2 linked regions of the Danio rerio genome follow. The main gene of each other region encodes a partner of the protein of the gene in region 2 in a complex. Links are inferred from orthologs where the notes say so. Each region holds a gene or a part of one and is shown on either strand. Other genes may lie near its edges. The genes, in order: si:dkey-7n6.2 and xpo1b.

Region 1 (6,979 bases), on a different chromosome or scaffold from region 2:
TTTAAGACCATTATGAACACAATCTAGATGCTAAGATGCTAGATGCTAAGAAAGGGCTAGATGCTAAGAATGTTATTTGAATATCCCAGATAGAAAAGATTTTCACTTGCCCCATCAAAAATTATTACAATTTTATACATTTAACAATACAACAACAACAACAATAATCATAGTAGTAGTAGTAATAATAATAATAATAATAATAATAATAATAATAATAATAATCTTTGATTTTTTTTACATTTTCAAATGTATTTATTCACAAACTCTATAACTCTTACCAAGAATAGAACAAAACATAGCTGTCAATTACTTCAGTCTACAATAATAATTAAAAAAATAGGTCAGGTCAGTATCCTTAGCAGTAAATAAATAGAAAACTTTTTTTTAAGCAAATGTTACTGTAAGGAAAGTAAAAATAAATGCTATTTAAAAAAAAAAAAAAGTTTAATTGAGGTGGATTGTTGGTGGTGTAAATGGCCAGCTATCCATGAACAAAGGAAAATTAAAACTTTTTCAAAAAAGATTTAAGACCTACAACACAACATTTCAGTAGATTTAGGACTTTTTAAAACCTAAAATTTAGCTTTTGTGATTAAAGACATATAAGACCCCGTGGATATCCTGGAAGGTGACCGTGCTCACCTGAAAACACCACAAACTAGTGAACTGTAAAGAAATTAATTTTATACCAAATAGTATAATGAAATATTGGTGATTTATTATCAATTTGGGAATCCATGTAAATATCAAAACAGATGTGGCACAAATCTGCAAGATTATCTCGAATTTTGTTGAACTAATTATCAGGGATGGGATGTAAGGACGGTCTTCCCTGAGCTCACGGTTATATTTAGCTCATGTTATCATCTCAGCACAGTCATTCTGCCTTTAAAATGATGCCACTGTGTGGAGAAACACCCTAAAGGAGGTCATCATTACAGAGCTGATTCACTGTACTAAAATAAGAGGGAAATTTTTAAAAATAGTGTTGGATTTCGCATAAAATGCTCAATTCTTTTCCAAATGACTTTATGTAACGTGGCTATACCAAAACATGTACTATTTTTATTCTTTTTAAAGTTAAGTGAAATTAAATATAAACTACATTTATAAAGCAAAAAAATATATTTAATTTTATTGCCAAAGAAATATTTCTCATATTATTTTTATTTAGTTTTAATACTGTATTAAAATGTCAAACCAACACAAAAAGCAATACAAACTATAAAATGTATTTTTTTTTTATTAAATTAAATTAAACAGAGCAAAAACAAAGGGCAACGCAGCGGCACAGTGAGTAGCGCCGTAGCCTCACTGCAAATACAGTAGGTCACTGGTTTAAGCCTCGGCTGGGTCAGTTGGCATTCTTGTGTGGAGTTTGCATGTTCTCCCAGTGTTCGTGTGGGTTTCCTCCAGGTGCTCCCGTTTCCCCCACAAGTCCAAAGACATGCGGTACAGAAGAAGAAGTGTGTATGGATTTTTCCCAGTGTTAGGTTACTTGTGGCTGGAAGGGGATCCGCTGCGTAAAACATACTGTGTGCTGGATAGGTCGATGGTTCATTCTGCTCTGGCAACCCCAGATAAATAAAGGGACTGGGCCGAAAAGAAAATGAATAAATGAATGAAAAAAATACATATTTTTGAAATTGCAGGAAAAACTAATTAACTTACAATAAATGTAGTTTATTTTAGGTTGTTGCCTATAGGAAATACTGCTTTTTTGAATTACTGAATTACTTGAATTTCACTCAAAAAAATAAAACACAAAATAAAATAAAAAACATTTAAAACCACATAGACTTAATAAATAATGAAAAAGACAAAAATACAACTAAATTTAGTACAAGCCCCAGTGCTGGAAAACACACAAACACTCTCTCATTCACACACTACAGCCAATTGAGGTTTATCCAGGTCACTTATACTGCATGTTTTTGGTCTATGGGGGAAACCGGAGAACCTGGAGGAAACCCACATGAACATGAGGAGAACATGCCAACTCTACACAGAGTGTAGACTCTACACCTGGCCCAACCGGGACTAAAACTAGCGACCTTCTTGCTGAATAAGTTGAAGATAACTCAGCATTTTTACTGTAGAGCATACACCTTTTTACACAACAAAGAACAAGATAGTTGTTGAATGGTGTGGAGATAGCTGTGCCTGTTTTCTGTATAATATGCAGTTGAAGTCAGAATTATTAGCCCCCCTTTAAATTATAATTTTTTTTATTATTATTTCTCAAATGATGTTTAAAAGATCAAGGAAATTTTCACAGTATGTCTAATGTTTTTTTTTTCTTCTGGAGAAATTCTAAATTGTTTTACTTTGGCTAGTATAAAAGCAGTTTTTAATTTTTTAAAACCCATTTTAAGGTCAACTTTTTTTGTGTGTGTGATAGTCTACAGAACAAACTATTATTATACAATAATTTGTCTATTTACTCTAACCTGCCTAGTTAACCTGGTTAAGCCTTTAAATATCACTTTAAGCTGTAAAAAAGCACGTTTGTTAAAAAATATCCAATAAAATATTATTTACTGTCATTATGGCAAAGATCAAATAAATCATTTATTAGAAACTAGTTATTAAAACGATTATATTTAGAAATGTGTTGAAAAAAATCTTCTCTCCGTTAAACAAAAATTGGAGAAAAAATAAGCAGGGGGGCTAATAATTCTGACTTCAACTGTAGGTATCCCAATTACTTGCATGCAAAAGTAATGTATTAAAATATTAATATTTAATATTATTTCAAATGAACACTGAATTTTATTCTAGCAAATTTAGGGCTTTTCTGTCTGTAATACAGATATACGAGTGCAATACATATTTTGTTGCTCAGCGAACACTGAATTTTAACATAAGCAAATTTGAATCCAAATGCAAAGCAAATGCAAATAAAGTGTCTACTTCAATGTTTCAATAACTTGTCAAAATGTAATAGCAATACATGGGCGAAACAACTTTCCATTATCATTCAGCACAATATATACTGTATTGATGTAAAAATAAAACATTTACTCTAACCTCAACTTTAAAGAATAATTAGTCATCATATTAAATTGTATTATATTTTAAACATTTAAAAAGTTCTTGCTGACAAAAGAATGAAACTAGTTTGAAGGATGGTGGAAAAAAACAGAATACATTAAATTTTTGGGGGCTCAATTGTAAACCTTTTAAAAAATCTATCAAATATGATTGCTATAAAAACATTGCTGCACTGACTAAATGCTCTTATATAAAATCATAGATTTTTTTTTACTGCAACATTGATTTCCACAAGTCAAATCTATTCATCATCCTCACAATAAAGGCAAACTGAAACAACATCAATGATATTGAACAAAAAAGCTAGGTTTGCCTTAATTTAACTCAAGTTCTGCACGTTTATTCCACACAACCATGACCAAAAACTGTAAACTAGAGCATAAATTTAATAGTTTATATCACGTAAAAATGAATAAAACATAAATGTACTGCGGCTACCCGGTGTCGTCCTTGATGTCACGTGTACTCGATTTATAACATCATATCAAAACACATAGCCTAGCATATCATACCCACATGACATATCTAGACATGACAGCTACAAGTGGCCATCCCAGTGGAGAAATTCTTACATTTACAGTCCAGCACACGGCGTTTAAGCTCATATCAATGAAACGGTTATATAAAACCGACAAGGTAACACAGAAGCTAATGAAACAGGCGGGCGACCGTCTAAAATGATATACCCAGAAAGCCGAACGAGTCCGCAAATTGTACCTGTTTTAGGCTGGACGTTTTTCCTATAATTGTCACTGCTGTACAGTTTTGTCGCTCCGGTTTACTTCAGTTGGATGCGACGGTGGCGGTGCTGCTGCTGCTTCAGTCCATGAGTCTGCAAGAGAAGATAGAGATGACGTATGCGCGTAACCGGGCGATGCTGATATGCGAGGATTATCCAAAACCATTCTATCTGCTTATGCCCAGTAATGCCGAGGAGTTTGATTCATTTCAGTGACTCGAATCTTTTGAACTTGTTCACTGATTCGCTCAGTAAGGGCTCTGCCTCTGCACACACTCGCACTTGTCTACTTGCATGACGTATTTCCTGTATTTGGCACAACTTTTAACACACTATAAAATTCTTCATAAAATATATCTAGTGAATAGTACTTTGGCAAAGTATTTGGAGGTTGATAGTTCATGCACATTTTGTAAAACTGAAGACGAAACGCTGATTCACATTTTTTTTTTCAATGTGAAAACACAAAAAGCATTTGGAATAGCTTATATCTCCATATAGGTAATTATTGCTTTTTCCAGACCCTTTAAACTATACAAGATATTATTTGTTACTATAAAAGTAAAACTGATTTATCAGAGAACTACATTATTACCTTTTTTATTTTGTATGGAAAGTATTATCACAAACAAAAATTATTCAATTCGCAGCCTTCTTTTTCACATTTTTTAATTTAAATTGATGTTTTTATTAAATCTCTTAGACTGGTTAATAACAAGAAAAGTGATAGATTCTTAGATTATTTTGACAATTATTTTAGAAAAATTAACAGGGTATGAATGTATCGTTATTTTTTTCTTTTACTTTTCTTTGCTTTTGTTTCTCTCTTTATTTTATTTTTTATTTTTTTATGTGTGTTTATATTTTTAACCTGATCTGTTATTATCATTGTTACTATCATTGTGTTTTTGTGTGTGTGTGTGTGTGTAAAATTGGATTGTCTATGTTTGTTATTAATTAATTAAATAATATATAAATAATTTGAACACACTAAAAATTATGTTTTGAAAAAAGTTATGGTTTATTGAGCTTTATAATTTGTACTTTAAAATAAATATTATCTACAGTCACATTACAAATTAATTCAGGAAATTCACAACATACTTACATATACTCTAATATTTAATTTTAAAAAAGTAAATAAATAAATAAATAAATAACAGTGACAACATGGCAATGTAGCTGACTACATCCATATTACATTCAAATTACATAAATTATTACTTTATAAAACAGTTGCAAAGTAATTATTTATTTAAAACAAGTGCTTACCCAAGAGAGTGTGCTATTTCAGATGCAGCCTTCTTCTTGTGTTACATTCTGTTTTAAATACTATGTGATTTGAGATGCAGAAATTGTTTGGGGTTTTATTATGGATAGTTTGCGATAAAAACATACATTTTTTTAATGCACGTAGGAAAACACCACCATAAAATTAGTTATTTCAGGCAGTTGCCAACTATGTACTTGCATAGAATCTAAAGATTCAAATGGTATAATAAAAATAAATGAATAAACAAATAAAAAGGGTTGCATGGTGGCACAGTAAGTAACATGTTTGCCTTACAGCAAAATGGTTGCAAGTTCAACCTCGGCTGTGTCAGTTGGCGTTTCTTTGTGGAGTTTGAATGTTCTCCCAGTACGCATGGGTTTCCTCCGGGTACTGCAGATTCGGCCACTGTCCAAAGACATTCACTATAGTTGAATTGGGTAAGCTAAATTGTCCGTAGTGTATGAGTGTGTATGAGTGTGAATGAGCAGCTTTCTTCTTGTCGTCACATTCTGTTTTAAATAGTATGTGCTATTTCAGATGCAAAAATCATCAGAAGTCGCCACAGCAGAATGAACTGCCAACTTACTTTCTAGAAAATAGCCATAAGTTGCTCAAATAGCAATAAATAAGCATACATTTGTTTGTCAAATCTCTTCATTAATTGGTAGAAATGGAAAACTACTATTAGCTAAAGACCCTTTTTTATCAGAGCTTTTAAAGCAATATTTATTTATTCATTTTCCTTCGGCTTAGTCTCTATTTCAGAGCTCACCATAGCAGAATGAACCGCCAACTTATTCAGCCTATGTTTTACACAGTGGATGTCTTTCCAGCTGCAACCCAGTACTGGGAAACATCCATATACTCATTCACACACATACTCTACGGACAATTTAGCTTTCAATTCAATTCACCTATAATGCAGTCTTTAGCCTGTGGGGTATTTAATCTTTTTATCTCATTATTTTTATTCAATGAGAATTACTCAGGGTGGCGTGGTGGCGCAGTGTAGTGCTGTCACCTCACAGCAAGAAGGTCCCTGGTTCAGGCCTAAGCTGGGTCAGTTGGCATTTCTGTGTGGGGTTTGCATGTTCTGTCCGTGTTTACATGGGGTTTCCTGTGGGTGCTCCGGTTTCCCCTACAAGTCCAAAGACATGCGGGTGAATTGGGAAAGCTAAATTGTCCGTAGTGTATGTGTGTGAATAAGAGTGTATGGGTGCTTCCCATTGATGGGTTGCGGCTGAAAGGGCATCCGCTGCGTAAAATATATGCTGCATAAGCAGGTGGTTCATTCCGCTGTGGGGACCCCTGATTAATAAAGGGACTAAAACAAAAAGAAAATAAATGAATGGGAATTACTCACATAGCCTATGTCTCATTCAAACAAATTGTTGTTCCACATATGTTTTCATTGAGGAAATCTCAGACAGTGCAGCTGTTGCTCTGATTTTGACATGCATTTCTCACCACATTGGCAGATGTGCTGGGATGCCATCCAACATTCAGCAATTCAGTCTTTAAACAAGGGCCCTATTGTCTGGCATTTCATCCAAAAACACATGCTCATTGTTGCATAAAACGGGCAAGTAAACAATATCCTTACACAGCCTAAAACAGGGAAATACGGTGCAATATGGCATCTGCAGTGGAGTATAATTACTTGAGTATTTGTTATTACTCTTTTTTGTAAATAGTAGCTTTAGCTCTGAAAATATGCCAGTAATACATACGAAAGATAATTTATATAAAACGATATGCTACAATAATTATACATTTAGAGAGTAAATATTAAAAGAACGCGAATAATAACATAAACAAAGGCCTATTATTTTAAATCATTTTACCGGTCGCCTCCCCCGTCCCACCTAGCGGCCAGATAAAGGTACTGCGCCGCATTTATTTGCAGGGAA
Region 2 (7,121 bases):
ATATATTTGTACAATTGTAAAAAGCTGCCAACTTTTTATATTATTTTTGAGTACAATTTATTTCTAAGATGCATTTTGAATTTAAACGAAAGAAGAATATTTTCAGTGGTAACAGAATGTCACAGTAAGGTTCCTCATGTAAAAATACATAATTTCTGCAAACCCTAAGGATTTTAAATAACTAATAAAAATAAATTAATTCAATTTAATCCAATTAAACAAAATTTTTCATTTGTTTGTTGTATTGTTAAGCTACACAAAAGTAAACTCAAATTTAATGTTGTAAATGAATCTGTTATATATATATATATATATATATATATATATATATATATATATATATATATATATATATATATATATATATATATATATATATATAAAACATACTGTCACTCAACAGATAGAGAACAATGCAGAATACATCAGTGAGCAAATCAATGCAAAGGCAGGTGCAGATTTACTACCGTTTTCTGCATGAACTAGGCCTGAACGATTTGTCCTAAAACCTAAATCTCGATTAATTAAACATTTTAACTCGATTACGATTAATGAAAGATTGTTTAATTTATTTGTTTTATGTTTTTGCCCTCATAGTTCACTGACAAGTTTTGTACAGTAAATGTGCTCACATATTACAAGTGAGAGATTTTTGATTGTGCATTACTTGATTAAAATTAAAGGAAACACACACTATCTACTGTCTATGATTATTTATTGAACATCAATATTGAACAACTGAGATAAAGACAAACAGTGCCTAAAACGCGGCTCTCCACGCCGCGCACCCACGTCACCTCTACCAAACTGACCAATCACAAAGCTTGTGCAACGTGTCGTTGTGACGCGCAATTACATTTTTTTGAGAAGTGTGCAGGTATGTGAACGCTTTGCTGGACTGTATGTGCCCTTGGCAGAAGTATAAAATGGAATATAATAGGATAAATTGGCCTTGAACAAGCGGGGTCACGTAACTCAACACATGGTAGGGAAAGTAATTGAAAAAATTTACTTGGAAAAATTTGATCAATTACAGGTTCTAAATGTCGATTTCGATTACTTTTCGATTGAGCTCCTTTGTGTTATAAATGGAATTATGCTTTCATTGTAATTTGTTTATCTTAAAATGTTTTGAAAAATCATGCATAAGTTCATATGATTAAATTCAAGATATATTAATAAATATTTATTTTTTTAAATAAATCAGGAAATTATCCACTGCCATTTTGTAATACATTTTATTAATCTTAGGTCCAAAATCCATAATTAAGTTGGCCCATAGTTATGTTTGGCCCTTCATTAGAAAAGGTTAGGGCGTTCCTGACCTAGATGATCTCACCCAACTACATTGAATAGGTGTCTAGGAATCTATCAATCAATATATCAATCGAAATACATCATTCAACATCAACACAAAATTTAAATGAATTGCTTTATATATTTTTAAATGCATTTGGATCATATAATTGTAGTTATTTTCTTGTTAAACTTATCAAGTACACAGTTTTGTACCTTTGTTTTCATCAAGTTTTCATAATCATCTTCGCTAGTAATATTGTAAATTACCTCAAAGTAGCTTGGTTCCATTAACGAGTTACATGATGTTTTATTTTAAAATACACTGCTGGTAAAGTGCAGACAGGGTTATATTTATCCAGTCTTTTGTCAAATGATCACCAAATTAATGCTTATTTCAGGACTCTTAGAATAATACTTTCCCTTTCAATCCATTTATTGTTATTTGTATTGACTATTTTATTATTTGATGTGCACTGGATAATTATCAGCTAATGTTATGTTATATCTTCAACACATACATCTGGTGCTGTATTTACCAATTTGTAAAATGATCTTACTTACCTGTGGCCCAACTCCATGGTACAGGCAGTTGACCACATTATCCAGCAGGTTGATATCCAATTTCTGGTTAAAGTCCAGCAGCTGTCTGGCTGCGTGGTCGGCTAACATTGTCATAATTGCTGGCATAGAGCTCTGTAGGGGACAGGGAGGAAACATCTAGCAGGGGCAAAGTCATGTCAAATGAACATATGGGTACAAAAATCCAAACAGCTGACCATTACGCCCCTCCCTCAACCAAACTCGGGATCACCCAAAAAGCCTTATATGTTCTAGCCTGTCAACACAGTAGTGCCTAATGGAGGGTTTAATCCTTAATAACAATAGGATAGGTTGGTGGCGTGATAAAGGTAACATGTTTGCAGCTTGGATATCCTGATGTGTGGAGAAACAAGAGACACTCACTGGGCTCATGATCATCACACCAGCCATTATTCTCTGAATGAGACCACGTGCTAGGCAGCCCTTTCGCTGACGACATTGTTTACATATAACAGAGGCGTAGCGTTACCGAGCGCTCTGCGTTAGTACACACTTTCTTTCTACTTTCATAAGACCACAACCACAAGACCTAATGCTGACTCGTAGTAGACTGAAGGACACTTGAATGGCCATTGCTCAAGCTAATTCAATTTGTACCCCGAAGCCAAACTGTTGCGTAACGAGGTAAGCATTACGGCCAAGAACCAAAAGAAGTTTGGCATCGGAGGAAATTTCAAGAATTTATTTAGACACGACAGTCAAGCTTTATGAGACCACGGGTCTCGCAGGCATAAACAAAGTGATGTGGTGTGCCATAACTAATCGTCAGTACTGCGCAACCTGTTGATTTACCCTCCTTTTCCACACATCACCTTATTTCATTCAGTAAGCTGTGACCACAATAGGATCTGTAACCCAACATAGAGCTACTAAGCATGCACACGTTTTCAAAACACAACTGGGTTGGACTAAGATAATGCCGCTTATGATGTTCTAGTTGTGTTGATATAGACTAGAACCCCTAATAATGCGTCGCTGTACATGACAGCAACTGCGTATGCATACAATCGTACAAAAGCGCTTGAATGGACGCTTTAGCGCGCGACTGACGTTAAAACGTCCAAGCAAACACCTCTTCCGTGAGAAAACACTGACGTTTCTGACGGACTACACCCGTTTTTGGATGACTTCTACGGGGGTGACTTTGCAAGGATCTCCCTCGCTGACTCTGGAGCAACCCCTCCCACCAACAGCATGCTCTGCACCCTACACCTGAAAGCTCTGCAGGCTTCACCAGCAGTAAACCAGGTAAGTAACACACTGTGGGTGCGTTATACGCGTTTAAATAACTAATGCTTTGGCTCTGGAACAGTCCGGAATGCGGTTTACAGTTGAATGACGCTCGCTAAACCCAAACAAGCGTGCTGCTGAAGTCTAACGTTAGCTCGTGATCGGAAGCGATGCAGTTGTTATTGTTATGATGTTACGTGAGATTAAAACTATTTTTCAAACGAACAAACCCCAAATATAACGTTACCATTTAGTCCAGCGTGACACCAGGAGCCATCACGCCACACACCCGCAACATCCAACAAACACTCAGCAGCACAACCAGCTCACTTTCTTTCGACTTCAACCTCCATACGTGCAATTTCTATTCATTTCAACACAATCTCACAGCATCATCATTCTCCAAACCAACCCAAGCACTCTAACTAGAAGTTTGCACCCCAAATTTACCTACCTAAAGTCCAAGCCTTTGAGAGAAAGAAGGTGGGCTTGTCTGCCAGAGTTGCTAAAATAATGTTTATTTGATCCAGTATCGCTGGTGCCTGTTTGTACACGCTTTCTGGAAAAAAAGCTTTAGGATGAGCCGTTGGCTGGTCAGCCACACTATTCCTCTGTGAAGACTACACGAGCTAGTAGCTTGATTTAAGGACCACTAGGATGTGAATTCCGCACCATCAATCACGGCGAGTTCAGTATTTTCTTACTCCGGTTCATTTTACGAAACAAAGTTAACCTTATTTCAGAAATGTGCTCTATACTTAAGTATATTTTGCACCAGGGCGGTATTAGAGTCTGAGCCTGTGCGCCTCTTCTTCTCACAAGCAACAAACTCGTAACCGGTTGAAACCGGTTCAGACTGGGAGATTCCATCTCGGTTTAGTTTTCAGCCGATGGCGCCGCGAAAAGTTTGGATTAACGTCACGCCCATGGCGGCCTGCTAATGGCCGTTGCGTTGCTAAGCACGTCCTCGCTCACACACCATTGGACGGCGAGCACGTCAATCAATCTATACTCTTTCTAGCGCCCACGCGACCGCTCCGCCCGTTTGGAGAAAAAGAAGGCAAACTGCGTGCAGAATGGACCTGTAATTCCTGATATTATTGCTCTCGTGTGTTTTGTTACTATTGTAAGGAAAAGCTAGTTTTAGCGTTAATAGTAACGTGTTTTGCACGACTCCGTCGATAAACATTCGCGTTTATATCCGCCGCGAGCTTTAATTTGATATTCCCCAGCAGTGCGCGTCTGATAATTGCATACATGCTCGGGAAAATGAATTTCAGGGTGGACTGAAGGAGATCGAGGGCATCGAGTCCGTGAGGCGGATGTTGGAGCTTGTACTTGTGCTGATTGTAAGCTGGTAATTTTCCACGAGCCACGAAGGGGAGTGGTTGTTCAGAGTCAGGGTATGAGACGCATGGCATGGGTCAGAGCTTGATACAATTGGCTTGTGATGGTCTCCATAAACTTAACTACCGCGAAATTGACTCCGGTATGGTTGTGATGGATGATAAACGCATCGAATCGCTCAAAAACATCATTATAAACAATCGGCGTGCTGTTTCATACAGACGTCAAACGCTCGCATGTTCACCCCCTCTTCGCTAGTCACGTGACGCAACGCCACTTAAACGTCAGTTGATGGAAAAATACTGGATTTTGTGTGCGCAAACTAATGTAGTGCCTGAACTGAACAAAGAATGAGAACAAGAATACATTGTCCTCTAGTCGAGCTGTCATTTAGGCTTAAATAAAACTTCGTTCCACAAGGTCACAGTGTCGAAGTCTTTCCGTTTAGTCCAGCATGTGGTCAGTATTACACACCTTCTGAAATGGCTAACTAAACAAGCAGTGTTACTGCACTTTAGGAATAGTAATTTTGTAAATGATATGCCCAACAACTGATCTCCCTTTTAGTAGAGGCCAGCATTTATTCCAGTGTTAGCTGGTGTTTAATTCAGCATTGCTGTTTTGTGCATTTAAATTGCTCCAGGTGTGATTTGATAATCAGCTGTTGTGTGAATCAGATCTATATTCATTACCTTTTGTTGTGTTTTATTATATGCAGGTCACATGCCGATGTAAACTTTGGAAGAAGAGATCAGTATGATGTGGCTTGAATGAATGTTTGTTTGTGAATCGTGTCTCAGTGTCTAGAAGTTTCTATGATATAGTTACTCATGTTTTCCAGGAATCAGAGTCAACTACTTTGTAACCCCTGTTCCAGTTTCTTTCTTTACAGCAGGTTTCCTGAAGTAATTAATAGATAGAGAATGGGTGTGTTTGGATAACACAGAGTAATATGTTGTGTTCAGTTGTGTGTCTTGTATTTAGTTTGAATTAAAGTGACAGTTCACCTGAAAATTGAAGAAGAAATTCCTCGTTTAAAAAATGTTGGAATACTTTGGTGGTCAACGGCTGCTGGGTTTTCGACATTCTTCAAAATGTCTTCTTTTGTGTTGAGGGTAATTATGAGAGAATTGTTTTTAAATTTTAGGGTGAACTATTTCTTTAAAACTCCAAAATTAAACACTAACTCTTTTAACGTTCACACATGGTGAATGTGCTCTTATTTTAGAAATGATAAGAAATCTCTTGTGTTTCTCAGGCTATGACTTCACTTTGTGTAAAAGAAAACTCACCATGCTTCATTTCTTTGTTGTCTCAGCTGTTTTGAATTATTTTGAGAAATACAATAAAGCATTGAAACTTCTCTGGAAGTCTGGTTTTGTTTATTGTGGGTTCCTGATCATGCATATGTACAAAGCATCAAAAGTATAACTGTGGCTGATGTGAAAACCTTGTATGCTTCCTATATTAAAGTGTGCCATTAATCAGCTCATTACAGAGGGTCTGAAAGTTAACAGGGTCAGGGGGCGAGTGAAAGAGGTCGTCCTGCCGAAGTGAGCTTAGGAGGGCTACACGTGCACTGTGGCACATACATGTGAATGAAATGGGCTGCTCTGTTTGGATTGGGCTGGATTGAGCCCGTTCCCACCGGTCCTACTAGTCCATTTACATGCATTATAATGACATCACCTGCTCCTCCCCTGTTTGACAGTTGTCATACTTGTGGTGTTTATGTACTGTCTAATAAACTGTTAATATTACCTTATTTATTGATTACATTTTTTTTAAATTGTTGTTTAGCAAATTGGTCACTATAGACAAACAATAAAACTAGACTGTAAAAATCCTGGTCGTCTTAAATTTTTAAGCTAAATGAAATTAACCTTATGAGTTCATTAAACTTGTTTTGTTGAACTGACTTAAAACAGCTTGTGCAACTTACACAATTAAGTTGGAACTTGAATAACTTAGTTTAATAAGTTATAATGAACTAAAAAAAAACACTATTATGACAAATTGATCATGTTTATTTTTTACAGTGTAGTTACTTGAAATAAAATAGAAATCATTTACTCACCCTTCCCTTGTTCAAAACCTATTTGATTTTCTTCCTTCTACACCAAAGAAGATATTTTGAAAAATGCTGGTTGCTGGTCCCCATTTACTTTAACAGGAATCTTTTTTCCTATTAAGGAGTTTGATGGGTGCCGGGCAGCAACCAGCATGTTTACAAATATCTTGTTTTCATCAGGAGAAAGAAGCTCATAAATGCTTTTTAAAAATGTGAGGGAGGATAAATGACATAGCAAGTTTTTGTTTTTTGAGTGTACTTCCTCTTAATAAAATATCAAAAACTAAATGTATTATAGGGTGACAGGGTGGCTGAGTGGTTAGCAATGTCGCCTCACAGCAAGAAGGTCACTGGTTCGAGACCAGACTGGGTTAGTTGGCATTTGTGGAGTTTGCATGTTCTTCCCGTGTTCACGTGGGTTTCCTCCGGGTGCTCCGGTTTCCCCCACAGTCCAAAGATATGCGGTATAGCCAGGGGTGGATTTAGTGATTTTAGATGTCCTAAGCAACTCCAGCCATAGGGTCTCAATTCCTGAAATGCCCCTTTCTACTTTTATTAAATTGTAATTAATTCA

The links.
Region 1: the proteins of xpo1b (region 2) and si:dkey-7n6.2 are in contact, whole or in part, in an NMR structure (PDB 2L1L), measured with the Homo sapiens proteins. The link is inferred for Danio rerio from reciprocal best matches to the Homo sapiens genes XPO1 and PKIA. Residues at the interface, in NP_003391.1 of Homo sapiens: Val518, Lys522, Leu525, Cys528, Glu529, Lys534, Lys537, Ala538, Ala541, Ile544, Phe554, His558, Lys560, Phe561, Thr564, Lys568, Phe572, Glu575, Thr576, Val580; in NP_006814.1 of Homo sapiens: Asn36, Leu38, Ala39, Lys41, Leu42, Ala43, Gly44, Leu45, Asp46, Ile47, Asn48, Glu51.

Annotation. Positions count from the first base shown.
Region 1 is NC_133199.1:26,673,055-26,680,033, reverse strand, and holds the start of si:dkey-7n6.2 (cAMP-dependent protein kinase inhibitor alpha), read right to left. Parts: upstream 4,100-6,979; 5' UTR 3,775-4,099; intron 1,597-3,774; exon of another isoform or gene 268-1,596; intron 226-267; exon of another isoform or gene 1-225. UniProt on the Homo sapiens protein: Extremely potent competitive inhibitor of cAMP-dependent protein kinase activity, this protein interacts with the catalytic subunit of the enzyme after the cAMP-induced dissociation of its regulatory chains.
Region 2 is NC_133192.1:25,313,343-25,320,463, reverse strand, and holds the start of xpo1b (exportin-1), read right to left. Parts: upstream 3,968-7,121; 5' UTR 3,380-3,967; coding exon of another isoform or gene 3,377-3,379; 5' UTR 2,290-3,376; coding exon 2,263-2,289; intron 1,993-2,262; coding exon 1,861-1,992; intron 1-1,860. UniProt on the Homo sapiens protein: Mediates the nuclear export of cellular proteins (cargos) bearing a leucine-rich nuclear export signal (NES) and of RNAs.